Linked DNA regions of Coturnix japonica. The protein of the gene in region 2 interacts with the protein of the main gene of each other region in a pairwise test. Links are inferred from orthologs where the notes say so. Each region holds a gene or a part of one and is shown on either strand. Other genes may lie near its edges.

Evidence for each region.
Region 1: the proteins of UBASH3A (region 2) and FGFR1OP2 interact in binary tests that used the Homo sapiens proteins (3 or more experiments, as listed by UniProt). The link is inferred for Coturnix japonica from reciprocal best matches to the Homo sapiens genes UBASH3A and FGFR1OP2.
Region 3: the proteins of UBASH3A (region 2) and SPRY2 interact in binary tests that used the Homo sapiens proteins (3 or more experiments, as listed by UniProt). The two-hybrid records come from large-scale screens. The link is inferred for Coturnix japonica from reciprocal best matches to the Homo sapiens genes UBASH3A and SPRY2.

The regions. Positions count from the first base shown.
Region 1 is NC_029516.1:62,493,942-62,497,587, reverse strand, and holds part of FGFR1OP2 (FGFR1 oncogene partner 2), read right to left. Parts: intron 2,410-3,646; coding exon 2,296-2,409; intron 2,003-2,295; coding exon 1,889-2,002; intron 1,134-1,888; coding exon 996-1,133; 3' UTR 1-995. UniProt on the Homo sapiens protein: May be involved in wound healing pathway.
Region 2 is NC_029516.1:98,576,876-98,580,521, reverse strand, and holds part of UBASH3A (ubiquitin-associated and SH3 domain-containing protein A), read right to left. Parts: intron 2,704-3,646; coding exon 2,650-2,703; intron 2,076-2,649; coding exon 1,889-2,075; intron 801-1,888; coding exon 602-800; intron 1-601. UniProt on the Homo sapiens protein: Interferes with CBL-mediated down-regulation and degradation of receptor-type tyrosine kinases. Promotes accumulation of activated target receptors, such as T-cell receptors, EGFR and PDGFRB, on the cell surface.
Region 3 is NC_029516.1:136,860,956-136,865,401, reverse strand, and holds the start of SPRY2 (protein sprouty homolog 2), read right to left. Parts: upstream 2,830-4,446; 5' UTR 2,077-2,829; intron 1,842-2,076; 5' UTR 1,766-1,841; intron 1,647-1,765; exon of another isoform or gene 1,551-1,646; intron 462-1,550; exon of another isoform or gene 1-461.

The DNA.
Region 1 (3,646 bases), about 36 Mb from region 2:
CTCTTTCATGGCAAACACATCTTACGAAGCACTTCTGGTGTACAGGCAAACCGTGCAAGCTACTTCTTGTTCTAGAAGCGCTAATTCATTTTCACCTCTGCAGCTTTTTCACTAATAAAAGTGAGCAGTCTTGTCAGTGTGATGTATTGAGAGCTCCCAGTGAAAATACACAAAACTCCTTGACTAAATAGTACTTAAAGAAAGAAAATAATAGTTCCAGGTGCACAGTCTGCTAACTTTGCCATAGAATTTCTCACCTCTTTCTCCCAATTATCTTTCCCTCAGTACGGTCTGAGTGCTTTCAAATTGCTGTTTCTAGCTTTGGGCAGCCAATCCCCAAAGAAACAGATGAGACTACGGCAGCCTGCCACCCACAGAGAACTGAGCTTCATTTTCTCTCATAAGGTAAAAACAACTGCAAAAGTATTGCTTATGTTTGAGCAACTGGCCTTACATTGCAACAGGGCAGCCTGCGGCTAACAGGAGCCCGTCGGCTTTCTGCTGGCTCTTTCCATTAAAGAGGCTCGTTGCTAAATGCTGAATTTCACAAACCTTAGTAACTAAAAGGACAAATGAACTATGGAGCATGCACAAAGCGTAGTCAGTCGCTATCTTTTAGCCAGATATCAGACTACTTTAAATCTTGCATTTATTGTATAATAGGTGCACTGAAGTTTTGTCCGAGCAATAAATTATATAAATTAAGTGAAATTATGTATTTTATTTGTAAAATGACTTCATATAAAAATAATTCCCAATTCCATAAGTGCACTAACCCATTTCCTACTGAAGTTAGACCTATGGCAATTAATCTGTCACTACGGTATTCAGAGAGTACCGACTGGAGTTTATTTTACACGGTATAAAAGCCACTAAACCAAAGTTCAAGATGCATAAGCCTGCTGGTGCCCTATTCAGTAACAAGTGCTTGACAAGTGACCCCTGATATTCCGTTTGTAAAGTGTGCAATTAAAGCTGGTTGGCTTCCACAGTCTTCAGCTCTTCCTCAGGCTCAAATCACTGCTTGTTACTAACCCTGAAAGGGATGTACTCTCTGATGCATCTTCTTTCTTAAGGTTCAGGAATGATTCTCTGGTTATCTGAAGAATTTCTCTCAAGCCTTTGTTTTCTTGCTATAACCGAGGGATAAAAAAAGGCATTTAATAGAACTCCAGAAAGTCAGATAACTACATGAAGGATCTCTCCTTCCCTTTACTACAAACACACTTACAAAAGACATGCAACAAACTAGCAGTACCAGTGAATGATCCAGTAACTCAAGAAAGAGACAGTAACTCAGTAACTGTGATAAGGTTAACACCCTTGCTAAGGGCTGAGTTCTAGAAATAACTGAAGCACTGGGAACAACAGAACCAAAGGCATTTTACACACAACGAACTGTACCAGAAGGTAAGTGCACAAAGCGGCTTTTGTTTTACGTGCCGGATTACCACAGAGTTACAAACAGAAAGGATCCCTTTACTGAAGAGTTTACTGACTTTAAAAACTGTTGTTAGGGTTGGTAGCAGCATTGGAAATAATTAAACATTGCACCCAGTTCCTCACTCGATAATAACGTGTGACTTGGTTCCACAACGTCTTATAAAAAAGCAGCCAAATTGGTAGCGCACTGGGAAAACCTTTGTCAAAGGAAATGATTTAATACCGAGGGAGACTGGAAAACCAAGCAGGTGACTAAAGCAAAAGTCTAAATCAGCATCTCAGGATTTGTGGCAATTTCAGCAAATCTACTGCAAGAATACAGAACATGATTTGCTCCCGAGTTCTGGAAAGATGGCACCGCAGCAGAGACCAATCTCATGTCAGCTACAGCCCCCTCAGCTCCTTGATACAACATCAAACTAATTCTCCTAAGTAAACTAATTACCTGAAACAGTCCAGCTCCATGAAGATAGCACGCAGCTATCTTAATGCTGGCTTTGAGTACTGGCAGCAGATGCACGGGAAGCTGGCTATTCCTAAACCCTAAAGTACTGAAAGACTGTAAAAGAAAGGTAGAACTGTAGGGTCAGAACAAGATATTTTGTTTAGAGACGTGGAGCACAATTTAAAGCTTGTGTGAACGTATTTGGGTAGCGGTAACCTGCTCCCCCAACTCCCCAAATAAGTGGCAGAGAGTTTCCCTGTTCTGACAGCCAGACTCTGATCTGTGTGTAATCGCAACTTCTTGTCTCACAGTCAGTTCTGAGCATTTCTCACTGGGAGGGTAGAGGAAGACAGATCCCTATTTGTGCCATCACTGGCACAAATCTCAAAAAAAGATCTCATACTTACTTCAAGCTGAATGATACGTTCCTGCTCTTTACAGCCATGCTTGTCATCAATTTCAATGGCTTTCCTCATTACCGCTGCCATTTCTGTAATTTGGTCCACGTGCACTTGTAGTTCCTACACCATATAGATAAAACAGTACTTTTAGTAATAAGCTTTCTTCATTACTAAAAATAAAGTATTACATGTGCATTTAAACTGCCGTGTCATGCAATAAAAATGCAAACACAGACCTAAACAAAGAAGCGCTAACTCTACAGCATGAGCAGCCACTGCAGTTCTGTTCATTTAAATCAATCTGGTTTGCCACACGGTTCACTTTTAGGAGTTTTACAGAAGAAAACATGCCCAAATGACTGTGCCTTTGACAGCTTCCATGTCTCCCAGATGGCTGTTAGACAGCCACGTGTTTGCTCTGGCAAGAACTTCCTGTACTGCAGGAGCTGATGTATGCGTCCTTCTGGATGTGCAGAAAGGCCAACTTCATCTGAGCACAGCAGCATATTGGACCTGTTTGAAAGCTGGTCGCAAGTCTGGTACAGACAGTACTCGCCCGTGAGTGGGCATTTCTCTGTTAGAAAGAGCAGGCAAAGCTGTCATCCTGACTATGACATAAGTTGGAAAACTCTGAGTCCTTTTTGCGGTACCGCTGCTCAAATCCACTTCCCATTTCAGCTTATCTGGGATCTGGTCTCTAGAGGTCCTTGTCCTTGTTGAACTCTAGAAACACCCTCGTGTCCTGCCTGACCTCCACTAATTAATACCAATAGGGTACTTCCCTATTATAAATAATTACTGCATCTCACTGAAATATTCATGGAGGAGAAAAAAACAACAAGTGCAGTAGTTGTCTTTGCTCATCTTGTTCCACTGCCAGGAAAGTGATGATAGGAGACATTAACACAGGCCTAACAGCCTTTGCAGGGAAGTTAGATTTTGAATAATCTCCCCTGTTTGCAAATAAGTGATATCTTACTTGGCCCTTGTTGGCTTGGGTGATGTTTTACTTTCTCACTGGCCAGCATATCAGCAAGAAGCACTTATAGAGCCTCTGCTTATTTCTCTTGAAAAATGTAGATGAAGAGCCTAAGTGATTTGGCATTCACTGCTGTAGAGTTAAGCCAAATACTTTAATGTATTTACAGACGCTTTTAATTTGTCCAGTCTTTCAACCTGTTTCTTATTCCAAATCCACTAACAGACCTGCCTCTCCATGCCTGGCCTGACCTTTGGGCAAAATTCACAACATTTATTAAATATTACTAGAAAAAGAACAGTAGGACTGAAATCTGCTATGTACAGTGAGGAACAGCACAGATTAAAGTTAAATACCATCTTTAAATGACAAACTTGA
Region 2 (3,646 bases):
TGGGTACAGAGGAATAGGGGTATTTAGGAGTAGACCTCTTTCTATCTTATATATCCTGATCCTGATGGCCTCTCAAGTTACACTGACAAACATTTCAGTTTGTGGGCCAGTATAAGAAAAGTAAAGGGAGGAAAACCAGATAATAACAAACCCAATGAAGCCAGTTCCACAGAAATGACTCTGTAAGAGCTCAAAATGGAATAACCCTCTGGTAATTTCAAAACCCATTATGAGCAGCACAGCATAAGTGCCCAGAAAACAAAGATCGCATATTGTTTTAAGGGATTGCTGCCTAAAAGATGTTGCCAGGTAAAACATTTGCCTGAATTTCCTAAAAAAAGAATAAATTTATGAAGACTGCTAGCATCTTTCTCTTTTCTTGTACATAGAGTTCAGCAAAAACCTCCTAGACAAAAGCAGCACATCTTCAGAATCTAAATCAAGCTCCTCTAGCCACATTGTTTTTGAATCTGTGGGAGGAAAATGTGCTTGTCAGCAGTAAAACATCTGCCACACAGCTGTGGAGACATGGGAGATGGTTTCCTTATCATGTCTATGCCTTTGCACAACAGCCCACTCAGCCCTCTTATGTTGATCCCACCTGCCAGGGCTGAAGCTTCTGAAGAGAAGGCCACAGCAAACTCTTTGAGGATATTTGCATCGCTGTCACCAACAAAGAAACCAAGGTAGCTGGTGGATGAGTGTAATGATAAGGAAACAGTTGGTGGAAATCTCTGTGCAAAGCTGTTGCAGATTCTCTTTAAGATGTCATACAGTAACTCCACTTTCTGGTCTTCACACTGTAAAAAAAAACAGAGGAAGGGCATCCTTTACACTGTAAGATCAGTACCCACTGTGGCTGCCTGTCTTGTAAAGTTACACCAGAAAACTGGATGGGCATTACTTCCTTAGAAAAATAACACACCTACAAACATGGCTGTGTGATGACACTACCTCAGGAGATGGGGTCTTTTACCATTAAGTGAAGGAAGAAAAAGCATGAGATTTTACCATCTGAAGTAAACTGAAACGAGGCAGAGTTCATGACTTCTCTCTTCAGTTCTAAGTAAGAATTTGTTATCCTACAGTCCTTTGCTCTGGTAAAAAATTAAGAGCTGAGCAACATACATAGGAAGGCTAATATGGATTCTTTGTAATTGGGATCTTTTGTCCCTTAGTTACAGCTTATTCAAGGATTGTACAAAGCCATGCTTCCACAAAAAGTGTCAGTTAAACAATTTAAGAAGTAAATAGAAGAAGACTAAATTTATGCCATAAAGCCAAAGTCACAGACATAAATGATGCTCCAGTTCCACACTGTGGCTTTTGTTTTTTCCTTAGCAGAGCTATTTGCTCCTCTCAGGCGCAGGAGATGCAGGGTGTCAGGAAACAGGAGAGTTTGGGTTGGGAGGTAGAGGTGGGAGCAGGGCAGTGAGTCTTACATCCTATATGGAAAGCATCCAAGTCATCTACTGCTGACAGCTGAGGAACATAGAATAGCACTGGAGGGTGTGCATTCATTCCTAGAAATATACTACCTGAAACAGAGCTGAGGTGTGTGAGGTGAGGTTTACAATTCAGGCATCTCTTCCAGGGTCAGGCCTTTAAACTCGACACTTCTCGAGAGCACAGCATTCGTTATTAATGTTTTTTGGTTTGCATAATTGTGATGAATGGCTACAGGTCACCACACTATTCTATATTTTGCAACAAAATGCTTGTATTTTCATTATGCTCAGCAGCATGATTACACATGATAGTATGATATACATGATAGTATGATATATTTTGTGCAGCTGCTCTATAGCAATGGTACCATAGCAATAGCCTGTTGGCTTGGAATTACCAGGCTGTCCAGTTCCACCAGTAATCACTTTTTGTTCCTTACCGTGAAGAAGTCACAGAGTGTGATGTGAGGGAAAATCTCATGGGCTCTGTTCTTCCCGCACTGGCGCTTGCTCTCCTTCCAGAACACTTGCAGGCAGTTATACAAGTGGCCAGTGGGGCACAAATAAAGAGCATACTCCTGGGGGATTGGGTCATCCAAAGAGGGATCGTTGCAGTGAGAATGCAACCTGAAAACAAAACACATCACACAGAGAAAGCATGTAAGCCACCTACTCTTCTTTTCTTGGCTTCCTTGGGTGTACACCATGAGGTACCATGAGACACAAGCATCATGATGAGACAGGGAGCACATGTACTGTGATGTAGCTTTGAATGCCTGTCTGGCTATGCCCCATGTATGCACACAATCACAACTCAGATACTATAGCCCTATTGCAGTGAATAACCCATAATTAAGAGGCTTAAAACTGGGGACAGATGTCTGCCCAGAGCTGTCAGTCCCCCAGTCCTGTGAGACATCACTGTGTTTAAAGTAGTTGCTTCTGCCCATGAGTCTCTTTGCTCCCTAACTCTTGATTTACCCCAGACCCTCTGCAAATAACCTTGCTTCCCAGAATTAGTGTAAATACAATTATTTCTTTCTCTGATGAACTAAAATGAAAAACAAACAAACAAACAAACCTCATATGCTACGTCTTCAAAAGCAGCTAACTTCATTCTGAGTAACAGAATCAGTATGTGAACAAGTGTTTTTAATCAGTTTTGATGTGAAAGCACTCCTCAGAAATCACAGGTGCTTACCATTTTGCAGCATCTTCTACTGACTTTTGACCAGTAGCAACCAAGGCTTTTTGCCTAGAAAAAAAAAACAAACAAAAAACAACCCACAAACCAAATGAAAACAAACTGGATTCATCAGAATAGCAGAAAACACTAAAATTGTTTTCGATGACTTTAATACAATAAAGAAAAATGGACATGCTGTGACAATGGATTCTATTTTTCAGCACAATGTATACCTGTAATAACCTAACCTATAATGACAAGGTTATTCCTGGCACATATTAATGTTCTTGAAGCCCTCCAGACAGTCTGCTCTGCTTCATGTCTTTAATTCCTTGCAGACTGGTAATCTGCTCTTTCCACGGAATATCCATAGAATGTGTTTTGGAGATGTTTGCTTACCACCCCTAGTGATTAAATGGGTTTCCTTAGGGTTGGTTTAGGTCTCCCTCCACATGCTGTAAGAACAGGATTTGCTCTATTGATAGTATAATTAATGAGAAGCTCAGATTCAGGTGCTAGATTCAAGTTGCCACACATACAACCTAAACAAAACATCTGGGGTTTGAAAATCTGGACCGAGGATTCCCCATAGCCCAGAAGAAAGCCAGACCCAAGCCACAAATGAATTCCAAGATAACATACAATATCTCCATTTTCTCCCTTTTATTCAACTGACGTTCTTTGGGATCAAATTTGGTTCATATTTCCTTTTCACAGAATCATAGGATCTCCGGAGTTGGAAGGGACACACAACAATCATGGAGTAAACTCCTGGCTTCACACAAGACCACCCAAAAATCAAATCCTGTGTCTGAGAGCATTGTGCAGACACTTCTTGAATTCCAGCTTCTTGGGTCTGTGACCACTGCCCAGAGCAGCCCATTCCATGCCCACCAACCTCTGGTGAAGAACCTTTTCCCAACCTCCAACCCTGTTTCAGTTCCCACAGGTTCTATCGCTGGTCACCAGAGAGGAGAATAGCTAGAGTTTTCAAAATGCCATTGACATCCTT
Region 3 (4,446 bases), about 38 Mb from region 2:
CCGGCGCGGCTACATCCGGCCGCGCAGCGGGAGCGCAGCAGGTGGGACGCGGAGCCCCGTGGCTTCAGGCGGCGGCCCCGCGAGTGCAGACAACCTGGAGATTAACAGGAGACATCCCCGGGCCGGGAGGTGGGAGGGGGCGGCCGCAGTCGCCTTATCAGGAAAGTCAAACCCATGTTTCCTTTTAACTCTTCCCCCCTGCCCTCCCCCGGGAGATGCTCAGGAAGCCTTTCCCGGCCGGGCAGTGAGCGGCGCCCCGCAGACGCTTGGAGACAGAACCTCCGGGACAGCCGGGCAGGAGGCAAATTGCCCCCCCTCGCCTTGCCCTGAGCGCTCATTCAGCCGCCAGAGAAGAGAACTGCCCGAACTTGAGCCTCCCGCCCCTGCCCAGGAGGCACTGTCAACCCGAGCCGGGCCATGTTTCCTTATTCCCCCTGACAGACCCTAACGGGACAGGATGTAAACCTCCAGCACCTTTATTTGCAGCCATGCCCGAAAGCTCTGAGAGAAAGCACGACTCTCCCTATGACCCAGCACCCTTCCAGCGCTTGGCCTTCCTGTGTGTGCATGTGGGCGATAACACCGTTCCCCACTTCCAGAAGCCAAAGTCCACTCTCGCACAGCTCAAGTGCCACGACCGCTGCCTACTCCTGGCTGGGATTGGCAGGAGGGCGAGCCGGGGGGGTGGGGGGGAGGCAACTTTCGTCTTCGCACGTCCGAGGAAGTGGCAAACTCAAGGGGCTTCTGCGTGCTGCGTGTGGAAAATCCCCGCATCGCGGAGGGGGCCTCGGGGGAAGAGGTCCCTGCCCGGGACTTACTGTGCTGTGTCCGGAGCCGCGCAGTACCCCCACCCCCACCGCCCCGCAAACACCCCCGTCACCGTCTCTGCTTTCACAGTGCTTTGAAACCCACATTAAGAGCAGAGTGTGCCATCAGACTCTGGATTAGGGCAAAAGCGACTTTACATCAAGGTTGGGCAAGCTGACATACAAGTAACATGCTGAGAACACCAGCAGATAAATATATATATCGGGGAGGGGGGTGGGGGGATGGGGGCCTGTTACACAGTAAACCCCCACAAAAAAAGTCCTTCTTCCCCTCCACACACACACTCTGCAAAGTAGAACCTGGGAGTGAAGTTTCCCCGTCTCATGAATCGAATTAAGTTTCACCGCACGAGAAATACGCACGCACCCGCAGCCGCACAGATGTATTTACACACCAGCCGTGCACTCACTTCCGAATGGCACGGATCTTCCCGACGCCACCACACACGGGCGTCAATCACGGCGCTCCCCCGGGCCGGGGGTACCGGCGGCCTCGCAGCGCCCTCCCTGCGCCTCCCCCGGGGCAGCACCGCCCGTGCCCGGCTCCCCGCAGCCGGGAATACGCGGCCCCCGCCTCCCCGCAGCCCCCCGGGCACGCGTGTACGTTCGCGCAGCCTTCCGCCCCCGCGCAGCCTCGCGCCCCCCGGAGCACCGCGACGAGGCGCAAATAAAGCGCAGCCCGCAAAACCCTCCCCGGAGAGAAAAAGAGCTCCGAAATCCCACCTCCGGCTCTTCTCTGGGAAAGGAAGGAGAGGGGAAAGGGGGAGAGGGAGAACCTGTGCGAGTGGAAAAAGGATCGGCCTCAAACATTTCCACGAGTTTTCTTGGAGCAGCGCTGAGGGAGGAGAGGGGGGGGGATACGAGGGGGAAAAGAGGGGGGGGGGGGGTTGCGGGGGTTACTGAAAAGCTTGTTTTGCAAAGAAGGAAAAGGCTCTCACCGTGATCGCGGCGCTGCACCAAACCCCTCTCTCTGTTGTATTTTCTTCTTCCTGCGGTTTGCAAATAAATCCAGCCCTAAAGCAAAAAAAAAAAAAAAAAAAAAAAAATTCTTTTCCAAACTCTGCTTTCGTCCAACTTGCAAATGAGAATCAGAACGATCGGCTTGCAAAAAAAAAAGTCCGGAGTAAAGTCAGTCCTCCCCTCTGCCCAGCTCGACTGTAAGAACGTGTGTGCGCCTATGTGCTATAGTAATAATCAGAACACCTCTCCGGATCTGGGTGGGTTTTCTGTTCTCCTCCAAAGAACTCACTTCTCACACACTTTCCTTTTTTTCTCCCTCAATGAACAGGAGGCCGAACCGCCAGCACCGAGTCACCTTTCTTTTTTTTTTTTTTCCCCTTTTTTTTTTTTTTTTTTTTCTTGCTGCCGTTGCAAAGGATCGAGAGGAAGGAGAAAGCCACAGAAAACAAAATCAAGTGGATCTAAAATCCGATGGCAAAGCTTTCTTCCAGCGAACTCATCCGAGGAAGCAACAGCAGCAGCAGCCGGGCGGGGGGGGGGGGGGCCGCGCTGCCGAACGCCGCTCGCCGCACGCTCCTCTCCCTCTCTCCCTCGGCTTTCTCGCTCCCTCTGCGAGCGTGTGTGTGTGTGTGTGTGTGTGTGTGAGTGTGTTGCAGGCGGCTCTGCGGTTTGCGAGCGGGGGGGTGGGGGGGGTGTTTGGGGAGCGCAGCGGATTTGTGGTGGTGGTTGTTGTTGTGTGTTTGGAGGAGGTGGAGGAGGAGGAAGGTTTGAGATCTGAGCTGGAGGGGCTCGGCGTTTTTCTGCTCGCTCTCTCTCTCCCTCTCTCTCTTTTTCTTTCCGGAGGAGGTAGGGTGATCTCTCTGCAAAAGCAGCAGTAAATGGCGTCATGTGGATCTGAGGAGGAACAGAGCAGTTGTTGTCCCAGAGGATATATCGCATCCGGTCCCAGCTCATTGGCTCTGCGGGGCTACATTCACTGGCGCTCCCAGCGCCCTGCCAGCACTCCGAGCTGCGGGAGGCATTCAAAAGGGCAGCGCTACCGCCGCTTCCACCACAATCGCGGCCCCGCTCCCGGCCCCGGCCCCGCTCCCGTCGGGCCCCGGCGCCGTGCGGAGCCCCGCGCCCCTCTCCGGGCCCGGCCGCAGCCTGTTCTCGCAGGAGGCAGCTCCGTGCGCGGTCACACGGCGCTCGGGGCTGCTTTTGTGCTCGCGTGTTTATCCAGGGGCCAGCAGCGATCGGGCTACAGGGCGGTCGAGGGGAGCTGCTTTCCCTGGGGGGAGCGGGAGACCCATTCCCAGGTGCTTCCCCTCCCCCAGCCATGTTTTCTTTTTTTTTCCCTTTCTTTTTATTTTCTTTCTTTCTGTTTTTTTTTTTGTTTTTTTTTTTTTTAATCCCCCTCTATGGAATAAAAAGTTTAAACTCTCTGCTCCCTACCCCCCCAGCCGGCAGCAGGAAGGGCCGCTTATTGCCCGCGGCATTGTGCCGCGGATTAACGCGAGGAGGCGGCACGGCGGCGCGGAGCGGGGCCCGCGGGGCAGCGCGGGGCGGGCGGCGGCAGGGGCACAGCGGGGTCTCCAAGAGCCCCCCGGGGGGTGTTTCTCAGCGTCGTTCATTTGTAATTTCGCTCGCTTTTATGAAACTTCCATTGTAATGGATTCCCACTCGTGTACGGGACGCGGCCCACGGGCAGCTGATAGAAATGGCTGTTTGTGAGAGAGGTTCCCTTGATATGGGAGCAGCCGGTCATCTCTGCACGGGCTGCAGTGCCGTCAGGCCTGGGCACCCCGCGCCGCCAGCGGGTCTTTAAAGCGCGCACAGCGGCGTATCCACGTCGGCATGCACAGAGCGCTCGTACACCCCTATCACGTGTGGCCCTGCTTAAAATATACCCGGCGTGCCGAGCAGCGATGTGGCGCGTTATTTACATGAGCAAATTCTCGGGGCGAAAGCCCTGAGAGCTCTTCTTAATGCTGGGAGGCAGTTGGCAGCGCTTCCTCTTCTCCACCTGCTGTCATCGCTGCTTGAGAGAGGGGTCACTGTTAATAAAAATGGGGTGGGAGGATGAGGAGGGGGCGGAGAAGGCTATGTAGTACTATGTACTAACATTATGAAGCTGAGAGTTATTTCTCATAGTTTCTCTATGGGACGACCACAGCTCTGCGTTCATCCCTTCATGCGGCCCTAGTAGATCCACGGGGTCACCAGTGATGAGTGGGATTTGCTGAGTATGAACCTGGGCATCCTCAGAACTGTGTGCTACGTTCAGGCTGCGCCGGGAAATCCATGGGATTCATCCGGGAGGGATGAGCGCGGGTTAGCATAGGAACGGGAGAAGAATGATGTTGATTTCACTTCACTGTGAAGCTTAGTAAAGGCAAAAATAGGTAATGGACAACATGTAGAAGCTTATGGACGAGGGAAAGCCTGCTTGATTTTTTTTCAGGATATAAACCAAGCACAGAAATAGTGTATAAATTAGAAAATCCACCATACTGTGTTTTACAGAGAAATCAGAAGTTTAAATGCCAGTTCTAAAGTACAGGTGTGAACACATAATGCAGTGAGCTGTCCCACCTACAGATATGAAAGCAGTGGAGCTATTTTTGTTCACAGAGTCACTCACGTGTGCAAAATGAAGTATCAGTGTTATAGAGAAGGA